2 separate regions of the Mus musculus genome follow, and region 2 is reported to be linked to region 1. The links are microRNA targets in miRTarBase. Many come from high-throughput screens and were not tested one by one. Region 1 holds a microRNA gene; the other region holds the end of a gene's coding sequence.

What was found. The annotated mature microRNA mmu-miR-703 reads AAAACCUUCAGAAGGAAAGAA and lies in region 1 at 2,505-2,525, shown strand. An mRNA with a match to its seed (bases 2 to 7 or 8) in the 3' UTR can be bound and repressed. Matches are read on the target gene's strand: a 7mer-m8 pairs with bases 2 to 8, a 7mer-A1 pairs with bases 2 to 7 and ends in A, and an 8mer does both.
Region 2: miRTarBase lists Zbtb14 as a target of mmu-miR-703. Seed matches in the 3' UTR shown: 7mer-m8 at 2,960-2,966 and 7mer-m8 at 2,323-2,329.

Annotation. Positions count from the first base shown.
Region 1 is chr5:98,473,736-98,478,140 of GRCm38, reverse strand. It overlaps Mir703 (microRNA 703), which reads left to right and starts at 2,477; the gene lies at 2,477-2,585. All of the region lies in intron 2 of Cfap299 (cilia and flagella associated protein 299), which reads right to left.
Region 2 is chr17:69,388,069-69,392,473 of GRCm38, reverse strand. It overlaps Zbtb14 (zinc finger and BTB domain containing 14), which reads right to left. Exons shown (of 3, transcript NM_009547.3): 3 at 1,722-4,405. The coding sequence ends at 3,816. Among named protein-coding and RNA genes, the nearest start is that of Gm49894, 6.1 kb to the right of the region's middle.

The DNA of each region.
Region 1 (4,405 bases):
CCATTCTGACTGGTGTGAGGTGGAATCTTAGGGTTGTTTTGATTTGCATTTCCCTGATGATTAAGGATGGTGAACAGTTTTTCAGGTGCTTCTCTGCCATTCGGTATTCCTCAGGTGAGAATTCTTTGTTCAGCTCTGAGCCCCATTTTTTTAATGGGGTTATTTGATTTTATGGAGTCCACCTTCTTGAGTTCTTTATATATATTAGTCCCCTATCTGATTTAGGATAGGTAAAGATCCTTTCCCAATCTGTTGGTGGTCTTTTTGTCTTGTCTTTTGCCTTGCAGAAGCTTTGCAACTTTATGAGGTCCCATTTATCGATTCTCAATCTTACAGCACAAGCCATTGCTGTTCTATTCAGGAACTTTAATAATGTTATTTAAGAGTTGTATCAGAACTGTTATAATATGTACTGTGACCTCCACCTAGCTTCCAGAAATCATGAATTCTGTACCCTAGTAATTTTTAGATTCATTTATTGGTAATAAATAAAAGGAATCTATTTTCCTCTGGGAAGAAAAGAATGTCTCTCTTTCCTATGCCTTTCAGTGAAGGCATGATCAAATGAACATGGCAACTACTGACATCTCAGAGAAACAGCCGACGGCAAGACACACGGGAGACGAGGAGTGTTACCGTGCAGGCTACACAGCTGTTTCTCTTCACTGAGACACCCAAGCGGGAGTGTGAAGGCTCTGTGGATCTGGGGGAGAACTGCAATCAACCCACAGCAGCTGTGATTGCCTGCAAAAGATTGGGTCCTTCAGCTGTGCGATGGAGAAAGGGAGAGTTTCAGGGATGTGGCCCCTACTGCAATTAATGGGGGAAGGAGAGACATTTTCTTCAATAGTATATCAACTGGAAAGGTTCCTACGCTCCTATAAACTGTGCTAATTAAGCTTAATAGGTCACAAATGAAAGGCAAAAAGATATAAACTTAGAAGGCTGGTTAGTTGGGAAGAGGTAAGGGGTTAACAAGACTAGGAAAGAGAGTGATCAAAGAACATTATGTATATATATTAAAAATTGCCATGACATTCATTTTATATATAATACATTCTAACACTGTTTTTAAAACAAAACCTTACTCTATGATGTTCTTTAAATCTGTTACTTTAATAAAAATTATTTTCAGACAATGGAACATCAAGAACGATAAGGAATGAAAAGAGCACTGGCTAAGGGGTAAGAGTGATCAGAGAACATTGTACACATTGTGAAAATGTCACAACAAACCCATCATTTTATAAAATTAATATATGGTGATAAAACATAAAAATAGAAAATTTTCTTAAAAATTAAAATTGCAGCATTGGGACGTAAACCTGGCATCTTCCTCCAAGTCATGGAGTAAGATATCAGAGAAGCAGAACTGGGCACAGTGTCAAATGCTTGTCATCACCCAGCTGGAAGCCTGTGGCAAGAACTTAGTTCAAGACTTCACCATGAGCCCATGTCTCAACAAAGCAAAAAGGAGGGAAAGAGACAGATAAAGACAGAGGTGGCAACGTGCCACAGAATCTTCAGCAAAGTCACGTAGGAGACCTTCATCCAAACACAGACAATAAGGAGTAGGTGTTCCCCCCCAAAAGGTAATAGAACATCCCATTACACCCAGCCACTAGACACAGAAACCTGTGGAAGATGTGGCCTCCCTGCAAACACACTGTGGGTTTCAGGATCTGATGGGCTAAGGGAGCAGCTGTACTCTCCATGTGAGATGCCCCCTCATGACAACCACAGACTCCTTTCCTAAGTATCAAAGTCCTAAAGTCCACAGATAACAACAGAGCAACTCAATGATTTACCACAAATATCTCAAAATAAAACTACTAATGTTTCCAAAGAGAATAATGTACTTATTGAAAACAGTGTTCGATTTTTTTGCAGATCTTTTTGCCTTAGGGTACATACTGTAGCGAGTGGTCAGAGACTGTTTTAAAGCTCTTTAGGCTGGAAAAGGTATGAGGCAGCTTTTCACTACTGGAACGAAACATTGAAGATAATTCACTGAAAAGGTGGAGGAGTTTCTTTTGGCCTCTGGTTTCAAAAGACGCTTCTTATAGTCTGATGGTTTTACTATACTGGTTCCATCCATCTAGTGACTCCAATAATATCTCCTTAGTTGTTGGGAGGATCCATTGATGCGTCTCATCATTGGAAAGTTTCACTGATGTCACTCAGAGTTGAATGGCCCCACTGATGGTTCTCATGGTTGAGGCACCACTGGCCTGTGGTAACATCATATATGATGATTGGAGTCATGTGGCAGACAAAAATAGGTTTACCTCACAATGGCCAGGATGTACAGAAGAAAGAGGAAAGGACCACAGGTCCAATAATTTCTTCAAGGGAATACTGTGTGACCTAACTTGCTCTTGCTAGGAGATTCCTCCACCACCTCCTTCAGCTGCTTAAGACTCCGTCCCTCAGAACTGTTTGTCTCAATTGGCCATTTAAGTTTAATAAAAGTAAAAGACTGGTTAATGATAACAATGCATCATAAAACCTTCAGAAGGAAAGAATGTTGTGGACCATTTTTTTTTGTGTGTGGCAGTTTTAAGTTATTAGTTTTCAAAATCAGTACTTTTTAATGGAAACAACTTGACCAAAAATCTGTCACAGAATTTGAGACCATTAAAACAAGTTTAATGAGAAAAAAAAAAAAAAGACTCCGTCCTTAGAAAACCATCATTTCCTCTCTTCATTACTGATAACTGATTGGGCTCATTCCATTTATTTGCTATGATAAACGCTGCTTCTCAGTAAATAAGCACTCTTTAGATTTGTGATTTATGAACCATGATAATGACAGTAGAGGCGTCATGAAACATATCCTTCCCCCTCCACCTCCTTGAATCTGATAATGTCCCACAGTGAAATACAGGAAAAAATACTGGTCATGATTTTTTTTTCTGCTCACACATATAACAAAGGCAACCATATTGAACTTACCATGCTATGAAAACTTCACACCACATAGAAAAGCTCAAGTGAATGAGTTGTCATATGAAGAGAGAGACAGACCGGCCACTAGTCAGAGAAGTTAGTCACCTATAATGTGAATGAAGGCTCCATCTTTGAAGTGTATCTCTAGCCACAGCTGAAGCTACCTCAGATGACACTAGGTAGCCCCTTCGGAGGTCCTGAATTATATAACAATGAGGCTTTTAAATAGGCTTTTAAGACTCAGATATGTATTGCAGAGAAATATAACAAAAACCAGATGTTTAATTATATATAATAAATTATATTTTCAGTTATAAACTTATTTTTTCTTATGGCTGACCAAATAAATTCTCTTCACATGTAATGAGGAGAAAATGGAAGGTTACATTTTATTTCAATCAACTTCTAATTTTAGACATGGCCCTATCCATCATAGCTAGCTATACATATATATACTTTATAACTACTGGGTTCAATAGTAAATTTGTTCAAGTTTTGTTTAACTCTCTGGAAAGTTGCCTTCATATTAACAAAGTATTTCCTGGTTTCATTAATGTCTCTTGTTTCTACAGCTTTTAAAATATTCTGTGCCATTCAAATACTTAGGTGATGTCTCAGAAGAAATCTAGATAATAAAATGAACCACTGATTTCCAATAAAGGACATTACAGCTCTGCTATTCCAGTTGAGAATTTCATCTGGCTTGGTCAGAGTAAGATACACAGTCACATCTGTACCATGAAAATATTTAAAGATCAGGACCACAGAAGGAATATTTTTCTTTTTTTTTCCATGTTTGCTTTATAGAAAATAATATGAATAGTGAAAATTTTTATTATTTATTTATTTATTCATTTATTTATTTATTTATTTATTTACATCTCAAATGTTGTACCCCCCTCCCTGTCCCCCCTCACAGAGTTCTTTCCCCCATCCTCCTCCCTTTCATCTCTGAGTGGGTGATCTACTCCAGGCATCCCCCTTCCCTGGGGCATCAAGTATCTACAGGAAATTTCCATTCTAGGGCTCTCTTCTCTTTGGTAAAATTAGGGTCTATTAAATTTCTGAATATGCATGTAAACTCAGTTAAGTAGAGCTGTATTTCTGACTTAAAACAGTGATGCATAGTACTATTTACTAAATGACACTCCATACAGAATTACTTCTTATGCTGGATAAGGAAAGAAACCTAGTTTCTATTCTTTGCCTATTTGTATCTAGATACTTCCTTGAATGATAAAGATTATTTTTATCTTAATCAAATAAATAATTTGAAAATATTAATGGTCACCTATATTACCCATATGCAAACTACAAGCATAAGACATAAGAAGAAATCTTAGCTTTATCATTGGAGGTGCCATACATATAAAATGCACTCCATGGGGGAAAAAAAACCTAGTTAATTCTGCAGTGCAATGTTGTTTCTATATTTGGTAATTTTGTGGCTAATTAT
Region 2 (4,405 bases), not on the chromosome of region 1:
CCTAGCCCAATGCCTAGCTCAGTAAATAGCAGACATTCAGCCAGTATTGTTAATGGACACTAATCGGACTCCACATAAAGTGTCCTCCTGGAAGGTTATTGATAACATCCTCGAAAGAAAGCAAGCAGTAACTCCAGACTAAAGTCAAAATTCGGGGGTGGTAGTCTTAACCCCTTCAGTGAAGAAACAGCAGATATTCTTGGAATTTATGTAAACCAGGACAGATAATACTGAGTGTAGTCTAAAACACATTCACTTTGGGAAAGGTTTATATAAAAATATTGTCTAAATGGATAACTTCATGTGTGGCTCTCAGAATTGCAATTCTGCCTGTGTTGTTATGTCCCCTGAGTAGATTTGGAAGCCAACCACATCAGGGTGTATGTATACACTTGACTACACGCCAATGACCTACTTAAAAATGGGCAAATGAGGTGTGATTATGAAACCAAAGAAAATTCTAGAATGAGTATGTAAGCTGTGAATGGACAGCTTATAAATGCCAATTAAACAGAACTTTCTTAAGACATTCTCAGTTGTGAACACTTTAAAAAGACGTGTCAGGCTACAATGCAGAGCCAGCAATTATAGAATTGACAGGTGTGGGGAGCGGGGGCGGGGGCATCTTGTTTCTGTATCCACTGAGAACATCCCTGATATGGTGCAGTTTGCTAGCACATCCTTAGTTCCAACCCTAAGGATGCAGAGGCAGGCATATATTGGAGTTTGAGGTGAGCCAAGTTACCGACTGATAACATGTCCAAAATGAACCAGTACAACAGGAACTACTCATGGTGAACCCAAAAAGCAGGATACTGGGCTCAGTGTTGTGTTAATTTTCATGTTAAGCAATGAGGAAAAAGGCCACATTTTTACCTGAAAGGTGAAGAAACTTTCTAAACTCACACTCAGGGCAGTTCAAAAGGTGCTTCAATTTGTGTGTATCCGTCAGCACATAAGCAAGCGCTTCGCCTCTGTACCATATCCCTAGTGTCAAGTCATTTGGTCAGGGTGGTCTCGAACTCACTCTTTAGCCAGTCAGGCTGTCAACCTGTGATCTTGCCTCAGCCTCCTGAGGGGCTGGGTTGATAGGCCTGTGCACCGGGGATGCTTAATTTTCTTGGCTGATTTTACAGTTACATGAAATTCCTTACAATTCCTTGCATTTATCATCTAAACCAATGCTAATATGAGGGGGTCAACACAATGTTTGTGGACACAGATAGTGTACAGGAAGAAGTATTGAAGTATTGATGGAAAGATAGCCTATGCTTAGAATTCCTTTCTTTCTTTTTTATTTATTTATTTATTTATTTATTTATTTATTTATTTATTTTTGAGACAGGGTTTCTCTGTATAGCCCTGGCTGTCCTGGAACTCACTTTGTAGAGCAGGCTGGCCTCGAAATCAGAAATCTGCCTGCCTCTGCCTCCCAAATGCTGGGATTAAAGCTGTGCGCCACCACTGCCCGGCTTAGAATTCCTTTCTGCTCACACTGCAGATTGGGGGCCAGCGCATCTCAGCAGGAACTCGCCATGCCTCTGCGGGTGGGTCCCTCCTACCTTAGGGATGACTAGAGTTAGCTGGATGTAGAGAGGCACTGTTCCTGTTCAGGGCCAAGGAAAGTAATTTTAAGAGTCCACCACCACTAAAAATAAAAACAGGTACTCCCATAAGAACCCAGAACCCATGGTAGAAGTTATAACACAAATACAAAAAGGTTCAAACACTAAACATGTAATACGAAGTATTCAGAATTCTACTTTGTTTTCTCAGATTGGGACACAATGACATGATTACCTGTCCACAAGGCTTTTTATAGGGACTGATTTTAGATCAGGAGTGTGACCCTCTATGAAACCATGACTATGGTAGCGTATAGATCTGGACATTAACAACAGTGGTATAAAGAATGATCAAGAACAAGAGGAGTGTATCATTATCTTTATATACAAAAACAAAGGCCCAAAATATGGTTTGTTGAAGTAGTTATCAACAGGATGCCAGCTGATTTCACATTTGCTTTGGTTAACACAGCCTAGGATCACCAGTCCGGCCCCTCCTACTAACTGCACAGACGAACTGATGGGATTGCCTTCAAAACAGAAAAAAAAACACTCAGGAAAGATTAATTTAAGCTGAAACATTTTAACGATAAATAAAGAAAAAAATTTAAAGGTAGCCTCCCCTCCATCCTACAATCTCTGGCACAACATGGACACCGGTTTTAAAAATAAAATTTTTCTCACGACAGTAATAACAGATGTTAGTACAGCAGGCCATGTAACGAAATTACTTTAATGCATTTTTTTTTTAAAAAGAAAACCTTAAGAACCAAACATGAGCTTTTAAAGTTGGCACCTTCTACAACTGTACACATCCTAAAACAACTGTCTACACTTTCCTACAGAACATAATTCAAACTCTGTGGGCATTTCAATATATCCTTAAGGAAATAGTCAAAGGAGCGTTTTAGTACACCCAATCTGAAACAAAGTTCATAATTCCGATTTATGGCTATGACAGGGCAATCAGCTTCTATTGAAAACTGCAACCAGTGATAAGACATATTTGGAAAACATAAACATTTGGTCTGATAGTCTTTAATATTGGTTAAAGGGGTCTGATATGTGTTGCCAATGAAAGGTACTTTAATCCACTGTATAAAAAAAATAAAAAGGAAAGAAAAAAAATGCAGCTGTCCCTTTTCTCGAAATACATAAGACCAACAATACTATTTACACACGTGAAGGGTTTCAGACGTATTTAAGGAAGCATCTGCTCCAAGGGAAATTGAGTGCTGCAGAGATGCAGAGACCCCGAGGCCTGACCATCTGTAAACTACAAAAACGCATTTGAAGAAACATTGCTGCTGCTTGTCCTAATTTTGATCTTAAATACAAAACCATTTCTGAAATCAGTCACGATTTCAAGACCTAGGGGTTTTTTGTATCTGTGAAAACCTTGTGTCAGACTCTTCTCCTGTCGATGCTGGTCCATTGCACGGACACACACAGACAGCATGGCCACACTGAATGAAAGGGAAACTGAGTCCCAACACCACCAGCATCCTGGTGGTCTCACTCATCCTGAGGTATACATGACCTGCAGCATTTGGGGTGGGTACAGGGGCCATTGTAATGGATGAAGGAACACTTCAGCAAAGCAACCATTATTTGTCCAAGGAACAGTGAGAAACAATGATATATATATATAGAGAGAGAGATTTAAAAATCACAAACCAAATATAAAACTAAAACCATTCCATTTTTCCAAATTTGGTTTTGTACTTCTGCAGTGTTCTGGGTCAGCGCGTGCCAACATTTTCTGCATCCATATAAAGGTCTTGTATCCAGTTATTAAAACTGCTGTTTTGACATAAGTCACATATACTGGGACTAGGAAATCAATTTATTCCATGACTCTGTGCAGTGCACTCACCAGCTTGGCAAGAGTTGAGGAATTAAGAATGAAACAGAAGCCACTCATTTTAAACCAGACAAAGGAGATTTCAAATTAAAACCATAAAGAAGGGTAGGGGAGCTTACTGGGAATATGAATACTAGACAACACACACACGCACACGCACACGCACACACAAACCAAAAGATAAAAAAAGCAAACTGTTTGGTCAGAACGTAGGAACATAACTGCCTTGAGAAATTTGAGAATCACCTAACCGGAGTGCGCACTGTCTTAGGTCCAGCCAGCACAACGCTGTAAATTGCCACAAAGCGGTCAAAGGTGTTCACTGACTACAGCCAATGCAATCTTAGCATCCACCTCCCAGGCCCAGTGTTCCTAACCCATCACCTCTAGCTACAGGCAATTGTCTCCAGCTGCTGCTCAGCCTCAGCGGCCATGGCTGCGGCCTGCAACTGTTCTGTCTCACTCTGGATGGCACTGGGGGTGACCTGTTTCCTCTCACTGTGCATATTGTTCTCATGCCTCTTCAGGTCTGAGGCCTTGGCGAAGGCCTTGGTGCAGGAGCCACACACAAAAGGCTTTTCCCCTCTGTGTCTTCTCTCGTGGTCCTTGAGGTGAGACTTGTGTTTGAAGGCTTTGTCACACATGTGACACGCAAATGGTCTTTCGTTGCTGTGAACCCTCTCGTGCTTCTTCAGGTCTGGGGCGCGGATGAATGACTTTCCGCACACCTCGCAGCTGTAGGGTTTGTACCCTGTATGGATTTTTAGGTGTTCTTTCAGGTGGGCCTGGGTGGTGAAACCTTTTGTGCACATCTCACAGACAAACGGCCTGTCAGCGGTGTGGAGCTTCTCATGTTTCCTCAGCCGGCCTTCATCGGAGAACGTCTTCCCACACGCCTGGCAGGCGATCTGCTCTCGATGGTGACCGTAGAGCAAGTACTCGAACTTCATGTCGCTGGCCGCCGTGGTCCAGCCCG